Drosophila melanogaster: one gene and its partners. Each later gene encodes a partner of the first gene's protein in a complex. Each region holds a gene or a part of one and is shown on either strand. Other genes may lie near its edges.

Region 1 (3,339 bases):
ATGTGAATTAATATACCACTAACAATTATTTAACTGTAAATTATAGTTGGGAAAGTTACTTACTCATTATTCAAGTATTAAGTATTTTTAGTATTTATTTGCGTAAGTTGAGAAACAGCTTAGTACATTGCGCATACGGTCACACTGCTACCTTGCTGTCTTTTTCTTGCTCCAGCACTTTTACATAATCTTGAAAACTCAGCGTAAATATCGCCCAAAATACGAGACCTGCACTCGTGCACCGTCTGCAGAGATGCGATACTAACCCGCTGCGTTTCCGTTGCAGGAGAACCGAGATGTCGTTCACACAGATCGCGCGCAGCTGCAGTCGACTGGCGGCCACTTTGGCCCCAAGGAGGGTCGCCTCCGGCATTCTCATCCAATCACAGGCCTCCAGGATGATGCACAGGATCGCCGTGCCATCGATGACCAGCCAGTTGAGCCAAGTAAGCGAACGTCCAAAGCGGTCCCTTCCGTTGCAGGAGCCCCAATCGCAGTTGAGGACCTAACCTCATCGCAAACGGCGGGGTTTCGTGATCTACGAGTTTCAAAACATTCAATTAAGTGCTTGCAATCATGAACGCAACAGAAGATCCTCGCCATGTGGCCGTCGAACCACCCAATTCGATTGCATCACATTATTTTGCATAAAACATGATTGTTTCCCTATCGCACACACACACACATACACCTGCAACACCGGTGCTCGCACTTGTGTGCGGTTGATTGTACTACAGTGAAAATCCTCTAGAAGTGACCTTAAAATGTAGCGGTTTTAAAACATGTGATTTCAGTTTGTTAAATATCTAAATATGTTTCCACGCCAATCCAAGCAATAGTTTTCGCGGTATTTAATCAGTTGATCATACACCATCGAACCACCCTCGTTTAAATTGCGTATATATTTACACTGCTCATTGAAGAATTAGCTAAGTTGTATGCACCATAAGTCGTAGATGAACTACCAATGCAATTATTCATATAGAGACGAAAATTCACTAGACATTAACATTCGCAGAAGTTCGGTGTGCGCAGCTACTCGGCCAAGAGCACCATCGAGGACATCAAGTTCCGCGTGCTAAAGGTTGTCTCCGCCTACGACAAAGTGACCGCCGAAAAGGTAAAGTACCCATTGCATGGCGCCACTAATCCGGTCTTTGTTTCCTTCCTTTTTTTCTCGGGCCGGCCAAAAACCAGGAGTGCCGTGGTCGCTGGCAAACGCAATTGGTGCGCAGATACTCGGCGAAACCGCCGCTCTCGCTGAAGCTGATCAATGAGCGCGTCTTGCTTGTGCTCAAGCTCTACGACAAGATCGATCCCAGCAAGGTAAACGCCACATATTGCCTTTGCCAGTGCAATGGTCGCCTCAGAAATCAGAACTGAACAAAGCTGATGAAACCTTTGAATACCCAATGCTAATGGCTCGCATTTACAGCTCAACGTTGAGTCGCACTTCATCAACGACTTGGGACTGGATTCCTTGGACCACGTGGAGGTCATCATGGCCATGGAGGACGAGTTCGGTTTCGAGATCCCCGACTCTGATGCCGAGAAGCTGCTTAAACCTGCCGACATTATTAAGTACGTCGCCGACAAGGAGGATGTGTACGAGTAAATTGTAATTGTAATGCAAGCCATTGAACGGATTACACTTAAATTTAAATAGAAAACAAGTCAAATACAATTTGATCAACTGAATAAACCAAACGTTAAATTAACTTGTAGTCAGCAATTGTACACGAGGGCTATAATTAACTGCGGAATAGCAGCTAATAAATTAACTATCCAAATAAATAAACGAGTCATTTAGTACTGGCGGTTAAATTTAAATTTCGATAGAAACGTTGGTCTTTCGATTGTTTTAGAAAGCCTTGTGTATTTTAGATACGCAGCGACGGTCACGTTAATCTGCTAGCATTACAAACAGAATATTCGAAATGTCAGACGCTGTGGACAAAATGTTGGCGGGAATGGGTAAATATATCTTTAAACCACCGACACGCGTTCTATTCCGTGCTTCCAATTTCAGCGGCCAATCGGCAGACCATGAACCGCCAGCTGGCTAAGATAGACGAGATAATGGAGCGGTCGAACAACACATTGCTCCACATCGAGTCCAACAGCAAGGCATTCAGTCAGAATGTGGCTTTGTCGGAGACCCAGAAGATGTACAACCTCAGGCCGGAGGCTGAGATGACCCTGTCCAAGATCCTGGAGAACTTCAAGCTGCTCATGTCTAGCAGTGACCAGCGGGAGGAGACATACAGCGCTCTGGAGGGCTGCCTGGCCTACAGGCATCGCGTGGAGCACCTTGGCAGCTCCGTGCGTAAGCTGGTGGCGCTCTACGACACCGTGGGCCAGATGAAGAACTCACAGGAAGAGCAGTATGCCAGCGAGGATTCCCCCTAGCTCATCCATTTTTAGAATTTATTATTATGTTATAGTTGAAAAATAATTTAAATAAATTAAACATTTGATTTGTATTTAAAGCTCTTTAAGCGAGGTTTTCAAATCATGGCCATATTGTAGCTGCTGACTTGGAGAAGCGTATAGGTAAGCACCTCTACGAACATCTCCAGGCGAGCGGCAAGACTCCCGGTGGCGAGTATCTCATTGGGATTGGGCAGCTGGAGGCTGTTGGAGCGCAGGTAGTTGAGCTGTTCCATATTGGCGGCTATGGTCAGAAGCTTCTCCTGCTGCTCGGATGTAAAAGCATCTGGCGGAGACTCACCGCCGGTTGGCATGAGCTTTTCCAGCTGCTGCGCAAATCCATGGAGCTGCGTCAGCTTCTGCTTGTATATGGATTCTGTGGTGTCCAGAGCGGCTGCCTCGTCGTAGATCTTGGCCAGCTTTCGCTGGAAACCCTTAAAATCATTGTACACGTCCACGGCACTGCGCTGCTCCTCCAGACGCGTCAGACTCAGCGAAACGTTGGATGTGTTGATGCCCATGGCCACCGACTCGTCTGCTCCTCGCAGGAGCGTTGAGTTGGTACGTTGTAGCTCCCGCTTCTTGGGCATTTTCTGCAGGTTGGCCGGGTACTCTTCCAAGGTCTTGAAGAGCTCCGCATAGTCGGCTACCGAGCTAAGATCCCTCGGGGGCGTAGTGGCTGCTGCCTCCTCCTCCATCATCTGCTGCAGGCTGTCAAAGAAGGCCCCCGGTTTCATCACCGTCTTGGATACGCACACGTCCTTTAGGTTTCTCACATGTTGCGCGTACTTTCTGTACAACTTGGATGAAATGCTGCTGAAATCTACATTAGTTTCCATTTTTATTGTTTACGCTTCACTTCTCCTTTGATAACTTCGTTTGAATGGCCTGCGCCGCATCTATCGGAAA
Region 2 (4,997 bases), on another chromosome or scaffold:
CGAGAGAGCACGGTGAATATTTAACAACCGTGCGCCTATTTAGCTCTAGGCTGCTTGCAACTTTCTGTGGCACACACACACACGCGCGCTCATTGCCTGTTTGCTGCGTATGAAAAATGGTTTTCCAATCCGTATTCACCACGCGTTTTGCGCGCACTCTCCAATTACGCATAAGCCCCTTTGCAGAAACCGATTAACCGTTAGTTTAGCAAGTATAATTGAATTTTTTATAACAGCAACAGCAAATAAAAAGCGACGGAATTTTTCTCAAAATGTTTTGTACGGTATTTTTTTAGTGACTGCCCGTCGCTGGCCATATTTAGCAGCTCTTCGCTGCGAATGGCAATGGCACTGTTATCGATTAATCGGCCATCCCTATTGGCACAATGATAGTGGGTTTTTGTTTTTTGAAATTTTATTTCACACACTCCGTACATCGGTTACAAAAATCAGGATAGACCCTTAATCAATAATAATGCATCCTTGGGATTACTTGGTCGGCTGCTTCGCTTGCTTCTCCTTCTTGGCAGCCTCGGCCTCCGCCTGTACCTTTGTGTACTTCTCGATCAGCTTCTCCACATCGGGTTTCTCCAGGACACTGTATACGGTCTTATTGTCCACACGCTGCAGCGTGGCCATCTCGACCTTCTCCGGGGTCAGCTTGGTGGTGTCCAGGGTCATGCTCAGTACCTTGATGGCCAAATCCTTGGCGTCCGCCAGCGTCAGCTTCACGTTCTCCTTATCGGCCAGCTCCTGCTTCAGCATGGAGATCGCGGCACCGAAGTTGTTGCCAATACAGGTGGCCTTCCATCCGCCGTAGTTGCCGCTGGGATCCGACTGGTACAGTTGGTAGCCGTACTTGTTGTCCCATCCCATGTAGAGCAGCGAGACGCCGAAGGGACGCTTTCCGCCGTACTGAGTGTACGCCTGTTTGATGTCGCAGAGGTGCGACACCAGCTGCTCGCAGGGAATCACCTCGCCGTAGCTGAACTGGTAACGCTGGGCAATCAGACGCAGTTCTGAGGTCAGCACATTGGCATCGGAGGTGATGCCAGCCACCGAGCAGACCATGTTGCTGAGGGAAAACAAAGAGGCTTGGATAGAGATAGATTCGTAGAGAATGTAGTGGGTAATTAAGATCATGGCCAGTTAAATATATGGCCTGTGACCCTTGAATTCATCGTAGGATATACTACTGAAATTTCAACTCACTCGTTCAGGCGATAGATCTTCTCCGAAGGAATGGCGCTGTCCAGCAATTTGTTTGTGCTGCGGCACTCGGCTGCCAACAGGATGCCGTCCTCGGCGAGGATTCCGAGGCAGGTTCCGGCGTGCGAGATGGCCTCCATGGCGTACTCCACCTGGTACAAACGGCCCTCCGGCGAGAAGATCGTGGTGCGGGAATCATAGCGGCGAGCCTGGGAAAATACACGCAAGTCAATTACTACCACGATTGCTAGCCTTCAATGGTCATCGGCCCAATGGTGGCTCTCAGACCAATACCGGTCTTCTGGGCGCGGTACTTACCATTGCTAAGGAATATACCAATTTACAAGTTTATTTTGCAAAACGAACAGAATTTACTTGTCATTCAGTGTAGGGTTGCCAGACTGCCACACGAAGTGCGTCCAAAGCGGTACCAGGGCTGCAAACTAGATGGCGTTAGGGTGTTTCTATTTACCAGGGGTGGTGTGCACGTTTATCCACATATCGATATAAGGTATTAAAATCATTTTAACAAAGATCAATTTATAAGCCCTTTAAGATTGAGGTGTACTAAAACATAATATTTACTTGAATTAAACTTAAGAACTTGTGTCAAATTTAGAAAAATTGTATCCTTACTTCATAGCAAAAATTTAAAATAATTCATATATAAAATATATATATATAATAAACAGAAATTTATTATATATATATATATATATATATATATATTATATATATTATATATATATATATATATATATATATATATTATATATATTATATATATATATATTTAACAGAAATAGATAAGAGTAAATATTTCATGAAATCGTTGATAGGAAATCAGGAATTTCTACGATTTTTATTAAGCTTAATTATTAAGCACTATTTCCTGTTAATTTTCAAAAGGTACCATCTCTAGTAACGTCTCTGAAACCTTTCGATATAACCGATAAGTAATCAGCTTGTGTTGTCATTTTTTTAAAAGATGGGCGATCTGCTGAGCGTATGTGTGATGATTTAATTAATGATCAGCTTATAATCGCCATGATTGCAGAACTCGGAATTCTTCAAGAAGCTGGGAGTGGACAGCTCGAACCAGTGGATTCTGTACGATGAGCAGATGGAGATGTTCTTCAAGTTCCTGTCCGGGAACATCACGGATGCAAATATCCTCACAGAGCGACAGGTTCTGGAGCGGGAGGAGATGCAGCGGCGGGGCGAGTGGCTAAGTGCTTCGGATCGCGAGCTCAAGCTCCTGCAAATCGAGGCCGAAAGTCCGGGGCTTCTCAACTACAAGCAGCAGGATGTCGACGCCTTGACCATGAGCATTGAGGCGATCGAAGATGCCTCAAGGGATTATGCTACGCTTCTGGAAGATATGATGTAAGGGAAAAACTGTAACCTTCCTCATATATGTTCGATCGATGGTCAATCCACTTTTGCAGGACCACAAAGCACTCGATAACTAAGCACCTAGGCGAGGTGGAGTGCGTCACCGCCGAGTTGCAACTGAGGGAGAAGGATCTGATAGCCGAGTGCCAGTCCAAAGCCAAGCAACTGGAGGAACTGCAGCAGGAGAACTGCCGGCTAAGCGCCGAAGCCAAAAAGGCATTCACCGCCCCACAGTTGCCGCCTCTATTCATGCATCAACTGCCATTGGAGCAGTATTTCCACAAATGCGATTCATTTATGCAATACTTTACTCTGTATGTGAAGGAGAATTTTAAGATCCAGGACTATGATGAGTTCCAGAGCGCGGAGGAAGATCTTGGGCGCGAAAAGGCCAAGCTGGAGGACTTGGAACGTGGGTAAGCACAAAGGTTCTGTGCTAAAAACAATGCACATTAATTGATATGACCGTTTTTACAGCATCCAGTTTTATGCACTATCCTACATAAGAACAAAGGCCAAGGTGAAGGCCACGCAGTGTCTTATTGACCAGTTGGATCTTGGCAAGATTCACTGCCTCAGTTTAACGGACATGGCGCGTGAAATGCACGATCTGCAGCTGCTCAACGACTATCAACTGAGCAATACACACGATACGCTTTTAAACGATCTAACCATTCACATTCAGCAGCACACCCAGCGACGTATTGAGCTGGTTCTCTACGAGAACACTAAACTGAAGTTGGAAAGAGCTGTTCGACGTCATGAAAGCGACAAGAAGCTCACTAAAATCATCTCAGATGCTCTGTCCAATGCGGAATTGCTGTGGATTGCGATCCAACTGGACTGCGACAAGAAGCGCAACTGCCTGGACACTTCGGAGGAGTTGCGCGACCAAGCGCAGGCCACTTGGCAAAGAATCCAGACCATGCGCTCCATTAACGCCAGTTATCAGGGCATTTGTGCCCAGTTTGTGCAGGAGATTGCCAATTTGTTGTCAGCCCACTTGGGACAGAACATAAAGGCAACTGAGGCCAAGGCTTGTCTCTTCGAATACGAAAAGTTCGGTCGCCTGCTGTCTTACTCCTTTCAGAGCATGCTGAACCGAAAGTCGTGTGCTGCTGTTCAGGATCAACTGGCAGAACTGTAAGTTGCAATACTTAACTTTGATACAGATCGTTTAAGCTATTAATATTTTTTTTTAGCAAGCGCTTGGAGCAGACTTTGCGGCCGTTTGTCTATGATTCCCCATTGGAGCAGCCCATGTTTGAGAACGTTCGCTACTTGAGCGCCATATACAATGTCACCCAGCAGCAAACTCGCCTGGATGAGTCAGGGCGTTCCTTGCGAAAAGATTTCCTGGAAAATGTCGTGGGGCGCATTGTAAGTATACTAATTAACTATAAAATCATGGAATATAACATTTTAATGTTGTTTATCCTTTTAGGAGCGGGATAAACTGTATCGCTATAGCGTAGTCCTGTGGATTTGGTTTCTCACTGAGCCGCAGCGCATGATGCATGCAATTGATGAGGTCAAAAAGGCAGCCGCTGCAGTAATTCGTCCAGGTGGTGGTCTGCACCGCAAGTGAACTTAGTTGATTTAGAATCTGGTCAGTAAATAAATGTTAAATTATTCAAAAATAAACATTACGGCGTTGCTAGTCTAATAATAAGTCAATACACTAAATTTAGGGATGCTGTATAATGTGTGTATGTAAAGATTCTTAGGCAGCAACATGATTTACTTTTGCTTACGACTTTGGTAATTGTTTTCCCCCCTTTGAAATGCCTTTTCCCTGGGCTATCAGATTTGGGTTCACTAAACACCGGGCGTATTAAGGCAGCATCGTCTTAAAGCAGTCTACACGAGTGCCACCAAAGAGACGCATTAATTGCTGGCGGCACGCGACGGCGTTTCCAAGCGATTACCATTCAGATTTGGCCAAGGAGCAACAAGTGAGGCCATAAAACCTTGTTCGCCTAACCTAGAGATTCACTTTCCGTGCAGACGAAGTCATTTGCCCGCCGATTTGCAGGACTCTCATTGGCTGCCGGCATTCGGGCTGCAGGACGAGTTTTGCCGAGCAGAGGTCCTTGCGGATATAAAAGGACCAACAGTTGTGGCCACTGGTTCACTCGATTATCGTGCTTCGGGCCATCTTTCCCCTCGTGACTTCCGGTAATACAATTGGATAAAGTGAAGTGTTTGTGCAAAGTGTGTTTTTTTAGTCAAATAAACCTTAAAAAGTGCTTCTACAAAACATTAAATATTTGGACTGCTTTAAGGACTTTAAATTTAAAGGAGTACAGCAAAGAAGTGGAACATTTTAAAGCTTTAAATGGATAATTACTCGCAACTCATTACCCCTTAGTGCTATTTGAATTAATTTCAAA
Region 3 (3,953 bases), on another chromosome or scaffold:
TTTCTCGACCACAAGACACTCTACTATGATACCGATCCGTTTCTCTTCTACGTAATGACAGAGTTCGACTCGCGCGGCTTCCACATAGTAGGGTACTTCTCCAAGGAGAAGGAGAGCACAGAGGACTACAACGTGGCCTGCATTCTCACAATGCCTCCGTATCAGCGCAAGGGCTACGGCAAGCTGCTCATTGAGTTCAGCTACGAGTTGTCCAAGTTCGAGGGCAAGACGGGATCGCCGGAGAAACCATTGTCTGATCTGGGTTTGCTGTCCTATCGATCGTACTGGGCGCAAACCATACTGGAGATCTTTATCAGCCAAAACCCGAGCACGGACGGCGAAAAGCCCACTATAACTATAAAGTATGGCTAGTTCTAAGCTTAAAGTAATACAATTTTCAATCCACAGAGATTGTGCTTCATTGCCGAAACATAGATTAATCATGCTCCCAAAATTTTTCTTCACAGCGACATCTGCGAATGCACATCCATCAAAAAAGAGGACGTGATCTCAACGCTGCAGAACCTGAACCTGATCAACTACTACAAGGGCCAGTACATCGTGTGCATCAACCGGGTTATCATCGAGCAACACCGGCGAGCAATGGACAAGCGCAAGATCCGCATCGACTCGAAATGCCTGCACTGGACACCCAAAGACTGGTCCAAGCGCTCCAAATGGTAATCTCCTCATCTTCTCCGTATAAATAACTGAGTTTAAACAGCTTTGAATCCGTTTTTTTTTGTTTTTAGATTTCCGCTACCAATATTCTTCATCGGATGATCCTGGCTTCGTTGTAGCTTGTAGTTTTCATTTACAGTTTCCGTTTTTAATGTTATAAACTAGTTTATATCATACAATATTATATATACTTTTGAGACGACCGGCTAGTTGTTTGTTTCCCGCGGTGGGAGAAGATCCTCCACAAGGCGGTCCATTGCCTGTATCATGCCCATCTCCATACCATTCTCCAATCCATCGACGGCGGTACGCAAACTTCTTAGAGCTTCTTGGTTCTGGGCGAACTCCCGTTGTTGCCGGCATAGATTTAGGCGCGGTTTGTGGGTGGTGTTCAGATGTTCCAGGCACTGCTTCACATCGTTGGAGTCCAGAATGGCGGGACGCAGATCACTGCCCAGTTTGGATCGCAAACTAGCGATATCCTTGGCCGCCTGGTCGACTTGATTCACATCAGATACACGATGGGCATCCACGGCCGCCTGCAGGGCTCCGCACTTCAGGAGCCTCGCCAGCCGCCCAAAGTCCCGCTGATACTCACACTTGGCGTCCAGCCAAATGCGTACTTGCTCCTCCACCTGGCGCTTTACATTGCGGCTGTCTTCCTGAAAACGGCGCATCGCCTCCAGGTGCAGCAGGTATTGGATGTCGTCCATGGTGCCCTCAGTTGTCAATGATGGCGGTGTGGTCGTGGTGGGAGTGGGTGGAGTTTCCATAGTGGCTTACAAAAACTTCTTAGTTTTTAAAGTGGGAAATTCGGATTCGATTGCCGACGCTATCGCTTTCGCAGCTGCTATCGGTAGCATTTGAAGTCGGCTAACGGAGATTTTTGTAACGATAGGCGCGTAGCTATGTTCGAGTCAAATTTGGCTATTAATAACTATATAAAAAAAAAATGAAAATAATTCGAAAATGTAAATAACAACAAGATATGTAGGTTTCCTTACATAAACTAACAGGTTTTTAAAGTTTCTAGAAAACTGAAATAAGTTGTTTGATTTTGCTTACCGATAGTTGGGAAACCAGCTCTTATTGATTTTGGGGCTAAAAATGTAAGCCATGCAAATGAAGTTAACGTTTAAAAACAAGTCAATTCCTTGCAGCACGGAAACCAAGTACTGTAAAAAGTAATTCCCTTTCAATTCAATTTCACTTCTTTAGCAGCATATTTCACCTTCCCTTCCAAGCACCAAATGTCCGGCGACTCTCGCGCGACAGCGTTGCCAGTTAGGCGACGAACACGTTTTAACTATTCGTTTCGTTTAGAAAACACACAACGCTTGCCTAATTTTTTTTAAACATATTCAGTGGACTGATAACTTGGTATTGATATTGACAAATGGGTCGAAACCAGAAGCAAAATTTTTTCGCGGCTCGCAAACGTCAAAAGCGGGAGAATGTGAGTCACCTCAATTTGAAAGGAGAAACATTCCACGTTTTTGGATTTTATTCTTAAATATATTTTTTATCTTAAAGGGTCCCAAGCGCACCGATCGTCAGGCCCAGCCGTATGAGGAGATCAAAAGGGATAATGCCTTCTTCATCAAGTACTACCAACTGCAGAAGATCTGCGCCACCGATGAGGAGTGGACGCAGTTCCTTGCTTCCATCAGGGACAATCTGCCCACTACTTTCCGTGTGACAGGATTCAAGGACGAGGCCAAAGCCCTGCTATCCATTATTGAGACGCAGCTATTCACCGAGTATGTGAGGGCGGTGGCCGAGCTGCACCAGAAGGCGCCCGAGGATGTGGAACGTCCGCTGTGCCTGCCGTGGTATCCAAACGGACTGGCCTACCAGCTGCACCTTACCCGCAAGGACATTCGACGCTCGGAGCCGCTCTACCGGCTGCACAACTTCCTAATTGTGGAGACCACGGCGGGCGGCATCAGCAGGCAGGAGGCCGTATCCATGATCCCGCCAATTGTCCTGGATGTCCGACCCACGGACAAAGTTTTGGACATGTGTGCTGCGCCAGGTTCGAAGACAGCCCAGCTCATTGAGGCTCTGCACGCTGCTCCCGAGGAGCACAAGATTCCGCCCGGCTTTGTGCTGGCCAACGATGTAGACAACAATCGGTGCTACATGCTGGTTCACCAAGCCAAGCGTCTAAACTCGCCCTGCCTGTTGGTGACCAACCACGACAGCAGTGTCTTTCCCAATCTCGTGACCACGAAGCCGGACGGCTCAAAGGCGATCCTTAAGTTCGATAAGATCTTGTGCGATGTACCTTGCTCCGGCGACGGCACACTGCGCAAGAATCCAGACATTTGGCTGAAGTGGAACCTGGCACAGGCCTACAACCTCCACGGCATTCAATACCGCATCGTACGTCGTGGCGCTGAGATGCTGGAGGTTGGCGGAAGGCTGGTGTACTCCACCTGCTCACTGAATCCCATCGAGAACGAGGCGGTGCTGCAGCGGATCATAAAGGATGCCGACGGTGCATTGGAGCTGGTGGATGCGGGGCACTTGGTGCCAGGTCTTAAGTACAAGCCCGGCATGACCGACTGGAAGCTGGCCACCAAGGAGGTGGACCAGATCTTTACCCGCTTTGAGGAAGTGCCTGAAAGCCTGCACACTATAATACGGCCCGGTATGTTCCCTCTGCCGGCCGACGAGATGGCCAAGATCGGGTTGGAGAAGTGCCTCCGCGTATTGCCGCATCTCCAGGACAGCGGCGGCTTCTTTGTAGCCGTGTTGGAGAAGCGTCGTCAGCTAAGCTTCGAAAAGAACGATGTGGTGGAGCTGGTAAAGCTGAACGAGACGGCCAAGCAGCCTGCAGCTGAGCCGCAAGTGGACGCGGATGGCAAGCCCATCGAGGAGAAGTCCGTTCCGTGGGGACCGCAGCGAAAGAAGCGACGTCTGCATGGCTACAAGGAAGATCCTTATGTCTTCTTCGGCGAGAATGATCCTGACTACCAGGCGATCAAGGAGTTCTACCAGCTGGACGAATCCCTTAGTCAACGATGTCTCTTAACTCGCTGTGTCACGGAGAAAAAGAAGAACATCTATTACTGCTCTGAACCCATCCGCGATTTGGTGCTTAACAACGAAAACAACATTAAGATCATCAACACGGGCGTTAAGACATTCGTGCGCTGCGAGAACCGGCATACGGTGCATCCCTTCCGATTGGCCCAGGAGGGCCTCCAGACCTCCAATGCCTTCATGGGCGCCAGCAGGAGAATCCAGGTGGAGCGGGAGGACCTGGT

Evidence for each region. Proteins that work in one complex are often made in the same cells at the same time.
Region 2: msd1 (region 1) and dgt3 share a complex: the UniProt entries of both Drosophila melanogaster proteins name them as parts of the augmin complex.
Region 3: msd1 (region 1) and dgt4 share a complex: the UniProt entries of both Drosophila melanogaster proteins name them as parts of the augmin complex.

What each region holds. Positions count from the first base shown.
Region 1 is NT_037436.4:1,329,845-1,333,183, forward strand, and holds msd1 (mitotic spindle density 1), read left to right. Parts: upstream 1-1,899; 5' UTR 1,900-1,937; coding exon 1,938-1,974; intron 1,975-2,029; coding exon 2,030-2,409; 3' UTR 2,410-2,482; downstream 2,483-3,339. Other genes in the region: ND-ACP (NADH dehydrogenase (ubiquinone) acyl carrier protein), read left to right, coding at 297-446, 1,019-1,105, 1,198-1,326, 1,436-1,615; msd5 (mitotic spindle density 5), read right to left, coding at 2,508-3,269. UniProt on the Drosophila melanogaster protein: As part of the augmin complex, plays a role in centrosome-independent generation of spindle microtubules.
Region 2 is NT_033778.4:20,991,524-20,996,520, reverse strand, and holds dgt3 (dim gamma-tubulin 3), read left to right. Parts: upstream 1-2,139; 5' UTR 2,140-2,197; coding exon 2,198-2,215; intron 2,216-2,266; coding exon 2,267-2,595; intron 2,596-2,657; coding exon 2,658-3,020; intron 3,021-3,081; coding exon 3,082-3,747; intron 3,748-3,806; coding exon 3,807-3,984; intron 3,985-4,048; coding exon 4,049-4,192; 3' UTR 4,193-4,245; downstream 4,246-4,997. Other genes in the region: Prosalpha3 (proteasome alpha3 subunit), read right to left, coding at 490-1,075, 1,213-1,418, 1,528-1,530. UniProt on the Drosophila melanogaster protein: As part of the augmin complex, plays a role in centrosome-independent generation of spindle microtubules. The complex is required for mitotic spindle assembly through its involvement in localizing gamma-tubulin to spindle microtubules.
Region 3 is NC_004354.4:4,111,729-4,115,681, reverse strand, and holds dgt4 (dim gamma-tubulin 4), read right to left. Parts: upstream 1,982-3,953; 5' UTR 1,747-1,981; intron 1,619-1,746; 5' UTR 1,455-1,618; coding exon 888-1,454; 3' UTR 754-887; downstream 1-753. Other genes in the region: Tip60 (Tat interactive protein 60kDa), read left to right, coding at 1-362, 468-680, 753-753; Nsun2 (NOP2-Sun domain family, member 2), read left to right, coding at 2,078-2,137, 2,215-3,953. UniProt on the Drosophila melanogaster protein: As part of the augmin complex, plays a role in centrosome-independent generation of spindle microtubules. The complex is required for mitotic spindle assembly through its involvement in localizing gamma-tubulin to spindle microtubules.